2 linked regions of the Yarrowia lipolytica genome follow. The protein of the gene in region 1 interacts with the protein of each later gene in a pairwise test. Links are inferred from orthologs where the notes say so. Each region holds a gene or a part of one and is shown on either strand. Other genes may lie near its edges.

Region 1 (7,583 bases):
TTTGATATCGCCATCTGGTACATTCTAGGTATCTCCACCTCCTTTAAGATCCTCACCCAGATGATTCTCGCCTGTTTCCTTGTGGTTCTGGCTGGTCTTAAGATCTACATCAACCCTCGAGTTGGAGGGGCTCTTCTGGCCGGCAGTCTGCTATTTGTGGCTGCTGTCTGGTTCGGATTCCGCCGAGACGGTCGAGAGGCCCGAGACGATCTTAACGATGGACAGTAGCTGATGTCTTGGTGAAGAATACGTGGATTGACTACGGGAGGAATGTACTCTATCTCGCAATCAGTCTACTGTAACGGTAAATAGAATAAATTATAGTATATGGTAATATGGTACAGTTGTAGCTTGGCTATGGTAGAGCAGAAACGGCCTGAATGGCTGCAGCTTCGCTCTCAAACCCGTCTTTAGGGAACCCTTCGTCCTTATCTTCACTATCGACAATCTTCAGTGTGGGATGCCGCTTGACCACTCCAATAGACAGACCTCTCCACATCCAGGGCACCGGGCTAGCTGGAATTTCAATTTCGGCCTTGAAATCCTCAATGAACCGGTCTGCGGTCGCTGTGAGCTGTGCAAACCCAACATACTCGCCTGTGATTGAAACAGACGACCAAAACGACAGTTTTCGCAGACACGCCACCACCAGCGACGTCACTTCCGAGCCGTTCAGACAGTGAATATATGTGGGCTGACAGTCAGCGTCCATCATGTATCCAATAGCCTCAATGGCCACCTCGTAGTTGATAGGCAGCGTTCTGGTCTTCTTTTTTGTCTTTCGCGCTTCTTTCTTCTCCGTCTTCTTCTTCTCCTTTTCCTTGGCTTGTGTCTCGGGATCCTCAAACAGTGACTTGTAAGCCTTTCCTTCGGGCGCTGCGGGAATGTGGATCACGGTGATATCATTGTCTTCGGCCCATTGCGCAAACGGACCCTCTATGGGTTTCGGTGTCAGAGAAACAATGGTTTTGAGTCGTAAACGCTGCAGGAAGCGTAAATTTTGTTTCCGGGGATAAGAGCCGCGGTAAAGATGGGGCTGGACGGTGCCGAATCGTAATGGCGCAATAATTTCCGTCATCGGTGTGCGTAGTGGTGATGATGTTGCACGTTGTTTTAGCTCAGTCAGTTAGGAGGTGAGTTCCGTTTTGAGTTGGTTTTAGTTACTTGTTGGAAGTGTGGATAGCCTAATTGTTGGGTTCTAGTTGGATTTTGTGAGGAAGATACCAATCCACCAGCAATATATTAAGTAACATTTAAGATTCCTCAAGTAGAGAAACACGTACTAGTGAAGGACCCAGTACAAGATGCAGTTGAAGATAGCCAGAGGGAAAATGACGACTATAATATATACTGCTCACAAGTAGTGATATGAATGAAATCAATATACTTCCACATCCCCAGTACTTCTAAACAACCCAATGCAGAAACTCTGGAGCCTTTTCATCATCGGCTGTCACACTTGCATGAACCTAATGTCCCTGGTCCAAGTCTCTTGCTTACATCTTCATCCTGATCTGGCGATCTGACTAAACAACCAATGTTGGATCTTACTGAATACGAGCAGTTCGCGCAACTAGCGCAGGAGCTAGAGCCCCAAGACGAGGTCTACTCAGGCTTCGACAAGTTCAACCAGCTAGATGCCCCCGATATGGACATTCCTCTGATGGAGCATCTCGAATTCTTTGAGGACCCTTCTTCTGACGATGGAGAATACAACAATGCGGCATTTGAGTGGCTGACAAGCAAGTGCGTTGAGGTACACCGAAAGAACGGTCGAAGCGACACCCCCGAGCAGTTCGAGGCAGCCATCTTGGATATGTTACAAAGTAACAGGAGCTCTGATGAACTACAGATGCAACTGCTGGAAGAGGTTGGCTATGACGATGTCGACTTTGTGATTGAACTACTTGAGAAGAGAAATGATTTGGTAAGTATGAACGAACTTTTTTGATGTCTTACTACTAGCTAACCCAGAAAATATCAGCTGCGGCAGCCCTGCCCAATGGCTACTCGCTAATGACACCCGAACAAAAGGCACAGCAGCTCCGAGACAATCGTGCTCGTGCCAAGGCGCTGCCCGACAACCCAGTGCCCACACAGAAGAAATATCCCAACGTCTACATGTCTGGAGATGGAGGAAATGTGCTTTCTAGTTTGGGTAAGAAGTACGGTCTTCCTGTGGGAAGCGAGAAGCTGGTGTTCAATAAACATGAGGAGATTATTGTCCCGTACCCCAAGAAGCGACCCGTGCTCATCGAGTCAAACTTCATTCCTCTCAAGGACCTGGATATCATTTGCAGAGGAGCTTTCAAGGCCTACAAGTCACTTAACCAGATTCAGTCGCTGGTGTATCCAGTTGCATACAACACTAGTGAAAACATGCTTGTCTGCGCTCCCACAGGTGCTGGTAAGACCGATGTGGCTATGCTGACGGTCCTGAGTACCATCAACCAATTCTCCGATATCAGTCCCGAGGGAGACGTGACTGTGCATTACAACGATTTCAAGATTGTCTATGTAGCCCCTTTGAAGGCTCTGGCTGCTGAGATTGTCGTCAAACTTGGTAAACGTTTGGCTTGGCTGGGTATCAGTGTTCGAGAGTTGACCGGAGATATGCAGTTGACCAAGGCTGAGATTATGGCCACTCAGGTCATTGTCACCACTCCTGAGAAGTGGGATGTGGTAACCCGGAAATCCACCGGTGACAATGAGCTAGTTACAAAGGTCAAGCTGCTGATTATCGACGAGGTACATCTTCTGCATGAAGATCGAGGTGCTGTTATCGAGTCTCTCGTGGCCCGAACACTTCGACAAGTTGAGTCAACCCAGTCGTTAATTCGAATTGTTGGTCTGTCTGCTACTCTGCCCAATTTCATTGATGTTGCTCAGTTTCTGCGCGTCAACCCCGAGATTGGTATGTTTTTCTTCGACTCCTCCTTCCGACCTGTGCCTCTCGAGCAGCATTTCATTGGTGTTCGAGGAAAGCAGGGCTCAAATGAGTCCCGAGAAAACATCGACGAGATTGCCTACGAAAAGCTTGTCCAAGAAGTCGGACAGGGGGGACACCAGGTCATGGTTTTTGTCCATAGTAGGAAGGATACAGCCAAGTCGGCCATGAAGTTCGTTCAAGCTGCCCAGGCCAATGGTGAGTCAGAAATCTTCTCGTGCGCGACCGATCCTAACTACGGTCTGTACACCAAGGACGTTATGAAGGCCAAGAACAAGGAGGTCCGAGAACTTTTCCAGCACGGTTTCGGTATACATCATGCTGGTATGTTGCGGTCAGACCGTAACCTGACTGAGAAGCTGTTCGCAGATGGTCTCATCAAGGTTCTCTGCTGTACTGCCACTCTTGCCTGGGGTGTCAATTTGCCTGCAGCCGTGGTCATTATCAAGGGCACTCAGGTCTACGAGGCGAAGAAAGGAGGGTTCACTGATCTCGGTATTTCCGATGTCATTCAGATTTTTGGTCGAGCTGGCCGTCCTCAGTTTGAAAAGTTTGGTACTGGTATCCTGCTTACTTCTCTGGACAGATTGTCGCATTTCATCTCCGCAGTTACTGAACAGCATCCCATTGAATCCAAGCTGCAGGATCAAATTGTCGACAACCTGAACGCCGAGATATCGCTCGGAACAGTCACCAATGTGGATGAGGGTGTTGCCTGGCTGGGTTACACCTATCTCTTTGTGCGAATGCGAAAGAACCCTCTTGCTTATGGTCTCACTTGGGCTGACGTCCAGGATGACCCAATGCTTGGAGGTCACCGTCGAAAGCTAATCGTGGCAGCCGCTCAGCGACTGCATACCCTTCAAATGATTGTGTTTGATGAGCGAGTGGGTTCTTTCGTCAGCAAAGATAGTGGTCGAGTTGCATCAGACTTCTACCTGCTCAACAACTCGATTGAGATTTTTAATACCATGATGAAGCCCGACGCATCCGAAGCTGATGTTTTGGCCCTACTGTCAATGTCTGGCGAGTTTGATGGTCTCAAGGGTCGCCCCGAGGAGATGGAGGAGCTTGAGAAGTTCCAGAACTCGGACGATATGCCCTGCCAGCCTTACGGAGCACTTACCACCACTCAGGGTAAGACTAACCTGGTGCTGCAGGCTTACATTTCTCGATACCAGTTCAAGGAGTCGTCTCTGATCTCGGACATGGGCTATGTCGCTCAGAATGCATCTCGTATCGCCCGTGCTCTATTCTCTCTGGCTCTCAACAGACGATGGGGTAACCTTGCTTACTCGCTCTTGTCTATGTGCAAGGCCATTGACCAGCGACTATGGCCTTTTGCTCATCCCTTGCACCAGTTTGAGCTTCCTGATCACATAATGCGAATTCTGGACGCCAAAGACCCTTCGATTGATGATCTGCGAGATATGACCGCCAAGGAGATGGGTGATCTCGTTCACAACCATTCTATGGCCTCCAAGTTGTATCGGTTTGTGGACAGATTCCCCTACATGATGATGGAAGCGGACATTGCACCTATTACAAAGTCAGTACTCCGTGTGCATCTCGACATTTGGGCCGATTTCCACTGGGACGAAAAGTACCACGGAAAGGTGCAACATTTCTGGCTTTGGGTTGAGTCGTCCGATAATGCTCACATTTCGCATGTTGAGAAGTTCATGTTGAGCAAGCGAAAGCTGCATGATGTTCATAACATTGACTTCACCATCCCCATATCGCAGCCAATTCCTTCTCAGATTGTTGTGCGATTGGTTTCAGACCACTGGGCTCACGTCGAGACGGTACAAACAGTGTCTTTCAAGCACCTCATTATGCCTGATCACGAAACCATACACACCAAGCTACTTCGTCTGCGTCCTCTGCCTATCGAAGCTCTCCGAAACCCCATCATTGAGAACATCTACGCCAAGAAGTTTCAGTTCTTCAACCCCATGCAGACAATGTGTTTCCACTGTCTCTACCACATGGATACCAACGTCTTCCTGGGTTCTCCCACCGGTTCCGGAAAGACTGTTGCCTGTGAGCTGGCCATGTGGGCTGCCTTCAGAGACAACCCGGGCTCCAAGGTCGTCTACATTGCTCCTATGAAGGCTCTTGTTCGAGAGCGAGTTGAGGACTGGGGTAAGCGACTCAAGGGTTTCAAGCGAATCGTCGAGTTGACTGGTGATTCCAACCCAGATGCAGGAGAGGTTCGACGTGCTGACATCATCATTACGACACCCGAGAAGTTTGATGGTATCTCGCGAAACTGGAAAACTCGAAAGTTCGTCCAGGGCGTGTCCCTGGTCATTATGGATGAGATCCATTTGCTTGCTTCCGACCGAGGCCCCATTCTGGAGATGATTGTGTCTCGAATGAACTATGTTGGAGGCCAGACAGGTCGAAAGGTGCGACTTTTGGGTCTCTCTACAGCCGTGTCTAACACCACGGATATGGCTGGGTGGCTGGGAGTCAAGGAGGGTCTGTTCAACTTCCCCCCTGCCGTTCGTCCCGTTCCCCTGCAGATGTACATTGACGGTTTCCCTGACAATGTCGGTTTCTGTCCTCTGATGAAGACAATGAACAAGCCCGCATTCATGGCCATCAAGAGTCACTCACCCACCAAGCCTGTATTGATTTTCGTCGCTTCTCGACGTCAGACCCGACTTACTTCTCTTGATCTCATTCACCTGTGTGGTCTCGAAGACAATCCTCGACGGTTCCTCAGCATGGACGAAGATGAGCTGCAAGCCATTCTTCTGCAGGTCAAAGACGAGACTCTCAAGCTGTCGCTTCAGTTTGGTATTGGTCTGCATCATGCTGGCCTGGTTGAGAGTGATCGTCGAATTTCTCACGAGCTGTTTGCTGCCAACCGAATTCAGATTCTCATTGCCACGTCAACTCTTGCATGGGGTGTCAACTTGCCAGCTCACCTGGTTGTCATCAAGGGCACTCAGTTCTACGACGCCAAGATTGAGGCCTACCGAGATATGGACCTGACCGACATTCTGCAGATGATGGGTCGAGCCGGACGTCCTGGATTCGATACCAACGGTATTGCAATGGTTTACACAAAGGAAAGCAAGAAGGCCTTCTACAAAAACTTCTTGAACGTTGGTTTCCCCGTCGAGTCGCAGCTTCACAAGGCCCTGGAGGACCATCTTGGTGCTGAGATTGTCACTGGGTCAATAAAGTCTCGACAGGATGCCATGGACTTTTTGTCGTGGACCTTTTTGTACCGACGAGTGTACTCGAACCCCACCTACTACGGTATTCAGGAGCAGACTCCCGAAGCAGTTGGTGAATATCTTTCAGATCTCATTGATGACTCTCTGGATGCTCTTTCTGAGTCGTCCTGTCTGCAACTTCATGCTGACGGTACTCTTTCTGCTACCTCCTTTTTGCGAATCTCTTCGTACTACTACCTGTCTCACAAAACCGTGCGGTTCATCATTTCTGATGCTTCCAACGACTCCACTTTTCGAGATGCTCTGGTTTGGGTGTCCAAGGCTACCGAGTACGATCTCCTTCCTGTCAGACACAATGAAGATCTTGTCAACGCTGAGTTGTCCAAGGAGATGCGGTACTCCGGAGAGTCCATGGATTTGGTCATGTGGGATCCTCATGTGAAAGTCTTCCTGCTTCTGCAGGCGTACATGTCTCGTGTCAAGCTGCCCATCACCGATTACATTCAGGATACTGTATCCGTTCTGGACCAGACTTTGCGTATCCTGCAGGCTGCTGTTGATACTGTTGCTGAGCTGGGTCTGCTCTTTGCCGTCAAGACAGCCATTACAGTCATGCAGTGCATCAAGCAGGGTGCCTGGCCTGATGCTGATCCTGTTACGCTACTTCCTGGAATGAAGCCTCAGGATCGAGCCATCACCAAGTTTGAGGAGCGCGACGAGATCACCCTCGATACTCTCGGTAACATGTCTCCTGAAAAGATCAAGACTGCTGCTCAGAAATTTGGATGCCGAAACATCAACGATTTCGTTCGGGTGGCTTCTTCCCTGCCTGTTGTGGACATTGACTACTTGCGTGTTGATGACAAGATGACAGTGACCATGACTCACAAGAACAAGCCCCTTCACGCTGACTTCCGAATGCCCTGCCCCAAGTTCCATAAACCCCAGAAGGAGTCATGGTTTGTTATTCTTAGCTGTGGCGAAGATCTGCTTGGAATCAAGCGAGTGTCTCCTCAGCCTGGCAAGCCCATGCATACCGAGCTCAAGATTCCTCCTGGATACGAGACCAAAAATCTGATTCTCGAGTGCATCAACGATGCTCTTGATTTATCTTATGACATTGAGGTCCAGGTTTAGATGTAATTAGAGAAGCGAATGCATGTGTATTAAGTATTTGTATCTACGGTGTCTTTTGTAGACACATCCAAATCTCGCAAGCCCAACACTTGGTAAAAATGTGCTTTCAACTGGTCAACCATGTGAACTTGAGCGGCCCCTATCATCCTATAATATTGAAGTTGGAGATAGACGGTAAGTAGACGGGCTAAGGTTGTTGCCAGTAGATCTGTAGGCATGGAGTACGCTCCAGGTATCTTGTAGAGCCACCAAGCCATGAAAATAGTCAAATTGCGACTGACTGCTCGTGCAAGGAGGTTTCGGGGGTA
Region 2 (3,848 bases), on another chromosome or scaffold:
AAGTAGTTGCATATTTTGGGTTGCTTAAGTATTTTCCTAGAAATGTAAAATTAGAACATAAAATAAATTGATTAGAATAAAATAAATAAGATAAATAAAAATTGTGGATTTGGAGAGATTAAAAATCGAATTTAATAGATTATTAAGACATTCAACAGATTCATTAAATATTGGGCATCTACTGAAGGAAAGTGTAGGCTGATATCCAAACACGGTGCGTCCTTTTCGTGGTACTCCTCCGGTGTTACTCTCTGTATTTTAGTGCACATTTTCCGGACTTTGTACAGTCTAATTATTGATTACATCATCTGGACGAATACATTTGCTGTTGCTCTCGTTTGCACTCGGACCGCTCGGTTCTTGTTTCGATTTGATTTTTCTACAAAATTCGCTCGCAAAACATGTAGAAAATGCCGCTTGCTATGACGTCAAGTGGTGATCTTTTCTGCCGGCCAGGGCCAGAAATGTGCGTCAAGTTTTCAGAGGGACAAAAATGTACGTCATTTCGCACCACCGAAAACTGCAGATGCCTGCGTCCACCAAGCACACCATTACGTCACACGAAACCTCCAAGCTGGATATACTCAAGGTCCGGAAGAATCTACGAGCAGAATGATCCGAGAGCGTTGCCGAATGTGTATATATATAGGTGGTTGATCCCCCCTGGAGTCTGCATCAAACACCAATTGACACACACACACACACACACACACACACACACAACACACACAATGGGACTTCTATCGACTTCACTATGAACAACGGCAAGACTATCCCTGCCATCGGTCTGGGAACGTGGAAGTCGACCACCGAGGAGGTTGCCGGAGCTGTCGAGTGCGCTCTCACCGAGGGAGGTTACCGACATATTGACACCGCCTTCAACTACCGAAACGAGGACGCGGTCGGTCTCGGTATCAAGCGGGCCATGGAAAAGGGTGTCAAGCGAGAGGACATCTTTGTCACCACCAAGATTTGGGTCACTTACCATGACCGAGTCGAGGAGAACCTGGATCTGTCGCTGGAGCGACTGGGTCTCGATTACGTCGACATGCTGCTCATCCACTGGCCGGTGCCCCTCAACCCCAACGGAAACGACCCCGTCTACCCTCTGCGACCGGACGGATCTCGAGACATTGACGAGTCCGGCTCGCAGCCTAAGACCTGGAAGCAGATGGAGGCCGTTCTGAAGACCGGCAAGACCAAGTCCATCGGAGTCTCCAACTTCTCCATTCCCTACCTGGAGGAGCTGCTCAAGGAGGCCGAGGTGGTCCCCGCTGTCAACCAGGTCGAGCTGCACCCTCTGCTGCCCCAGCTCGAGCTCATGGAGTTCTGCAAGAAGAACAACATCATCATGACTGCCTTCTCTCCTTTCGGATCTGTCGGAGGCCCTCTGCTCAAGAACGAGCTGGTTCTCAAGCTCGCCGATAAGTACGAGACCTCTCCCGGCGGTATTCTCACTTCCTACCACATTGGTAACGGCACTGTTGTCATTCCCAAGTCCGTCACCAACTCTCGAATCATCGAGAACGGTAAGTCCGCCGTCAACCTGTCCAAGGAAGACCTGCAGGCTCTCAACGATCTGCACAAGACCGAGGGTATCCACCGAACTTCCAAGCCCAAGTGGGGAGTTGATCTCGGTTTCCCCGACTTTGATTTCTGTTAGAAGGTGCCACATTATTTATTAGACATAGACATAGAATTGATTTTACTAGACATTTGAGCGTGAGAGTATGAGTATTTCTATAAAAGTATCGTCGAGTATAAATTCGGAAAGAATCAACTATTCTGACCACTTTGATATCATTTTCCCATCCTCCTACATTATATTCAATTTTTTACGTATTTTTTTGTATATTTTTTTTTGTTTTCTTTTATCAAATCACGTGCAGTTTGCCTGGTCATGCATGCTTATCACCAGCATTTGGTACGACTTGATCCCAGCAACCTCCTAATTCCTTCATTCAAACGATATGGAAAAATACACAGTGACCGAAGAGTACGCCAAGGACATGGTTGGCCGGTTGCTCGGCGGGTTCGACAAGGAGACCGTCGCCCAGCTGGTGGATCAGGGCATGAAGAAAACCGATCCTCTGGAGGTGCACAGCTACTTTGTGGAGCTTCTGGGCGAGTCTGAGCCGGTGTTCCGGTTTGTGGAGGAGTTCAACCGCAAGCGGTTCTCGTCCAAGAAGCTGGAGAAGTCCAAGGCTGAAAAAATGGCCAAGAGCGAGCCCCCCAAGAAGAAGGCATCGTGGGCCACCAGAACGGCAGGAGAAAAGGTGGAGGAGGAGAAACAGAAGAAGGAAAAGACACCTCGCAACCGGCTGGCCGGCGTGGGTAAGGGCGGAGCAACAACTTCCGAACTGCTGGATCTCAAGCCCAAGACCAAGGCCAAAAACAAAATCAAGGTGGATTCGATTGCCGAAATCGACCAGGCATTACGGGACCTGGAGCTGGTGGAACATGGAGATGTGCGCAAAGACGGCACCACGGCGCGCGCAAAATGCGACTGCATGGCTTCCCGACACCCGTTGCTGGAGGTTGCCCCCAACTGCATGAACTGTGGCAAGATCCATTGCCTGAAGGAAGGGCTAGGGCCGTGCACATTCTGTGGCACTCCTCTGTTGAGTGCGGAGGAGCGCAATGAAATTTCGTCGGTTTTGTACCAACAAAAGGAGGACATTCGGTCTGTGAACGCCCCCAAACAGGCGGTGCCCAAAAAGAAACAAAAGGCCATCAAGTACAACTTATCTAATGCTGGGGGGCGGGCTGCGCAGGAAGAGGCCATCAAACAGATGGAGGAGGAGAACCGGCAGGCGCAGGAGGCCAAGGAGAAGGAGCTTCAGCAGGCCAAGGAGCGGCTTGACACCCTGATGGCGTTCCAGGACAGTCAGGCGGAGAGAACCCGGATCATCGACAACGTGGGCGACTTTGAACTGCCCTCGGCAGGTGTCAACCAGTGGGCTTCGGCGACAGAGAGGGCGTTGCAGCTCAAGAAGCAGCAGCGGCAAATGGCCAAGATGGAGGAACGAGACGCTCGGAAAAAGGGCAAGAAGCATGTCATTTCGCTGGGTCTGGATGGCAAGATCCGAGAGCAGGAAATGGAGGACGATAGCACAGATGACGAGGAGTTGAGAGAACTTGAGTCCAAGATCAAGTCTGAAAAGCAAGAGGTGGCGGAGCTGAACTCGCAGAACGTGTGGAACCCGGCCATGGCTGACTCCAAGTTGAAGCGCGTCAAGTACGTGTCTAGAGGAGATGTTCAGGAGCGACGGGTTGAGGAGAGGGGCATTATTGACATTGACGGTGAGGATGATGAAGAGCGGCTCATGCGGTTGTAGGGATAGGTAAATACTCGTAATCTATATCATTCATATTCAGGTAATATCTACAAAGTGTTAGTTATACAAGTAATTGCTCTCTTGTTTTCGTTCAGAATAAATAATTACATGGCGCCTACAGAATAGGCAGAAAGTTGCCGACAATCATCATGGGAATGTCAAACACGTCTCGTTTGATGGTCAGCGAACACGCCGTGTTGACCACCTCGCCTGAGGGTTTGGTGAGGCCAAACGTGGTGGTAATCGTGCCTCTGCTGTCTCCAAACGCCAGCTCGGAGAAGACGTCAAAGTACTGTACCACAGACTTGTTGTCCATGCACTCGATGATGAACTGACTCAGCAAATCTGCCTGCGATCGCATCGTCAGCACACAAAACTCCTTTCCAACGGCAGCTATCTGGCCGGTTCGTCTCCAGAGCACCGTGGGCGTTCCACTTAACGAAATGTACTTTTCAAACTCCAGCAGCGTGCGTTGGAAGCACTTTTCCATGAACACAAGATCTTCGTACT

Evidence for each region. The genes of interacting proteins can lie anywhere in the genome.
Region 2: the proteins of YALI1_B18451g (region 1) and YALI1_E22029g interact in a protein complementation assay, tested with the Saccharomyces cerevisiae proteins (2 studies listed by BioGRID). The link is inferred for Yarrowia lipolytica from reciprocal best matches to the Saccharomyces cerevisiae genes SLH1 and RQT4.

What each region holds. Positions count from the first base shown.
Region 1 is NC_090771.1:1,839,529-1,847,111, reverse strand, and holds YALI1_B18451g (uncharacterized protein), read left to right. Parts: upstream 1-1,537; coding exon 1,538-1,927; intron 1,928-1,974; coding exon 1,975-7,275; downstream 7,276-7,583. Other genes in the region: YALI1_B18472g (uncharacterized protein), read left to right, coding at 1-228; YALI1_B18460g (uncharacterized protein), read right to left, coding at 356-1,078; YALI1_B18391g (uncharacterized protein), read right to left, coding at 7,305-7,583. UniProt on the Saccharomyces cerevisiae protein: Involved in activation of the ribosome quality control (RQC) pathway, a pathway that degrades nascent peptide chains during problematic translation.
Region 2 is NC_090774.1:2,201,076-2,204,923, reverse strand, and holds YALI1_E22029g (uncharacterized protein), read left to right. Parts: upstream 1-1,970; coding exon 1,971-3,338; downstream 3,339-3,848. Other genes in the region: YALI1_E22041g (uncharacterized protein), read left to right, coding at 755-1,663; YALI1_E22004g (uncharacterized protein), read right to left, coding at 3,454-3,848.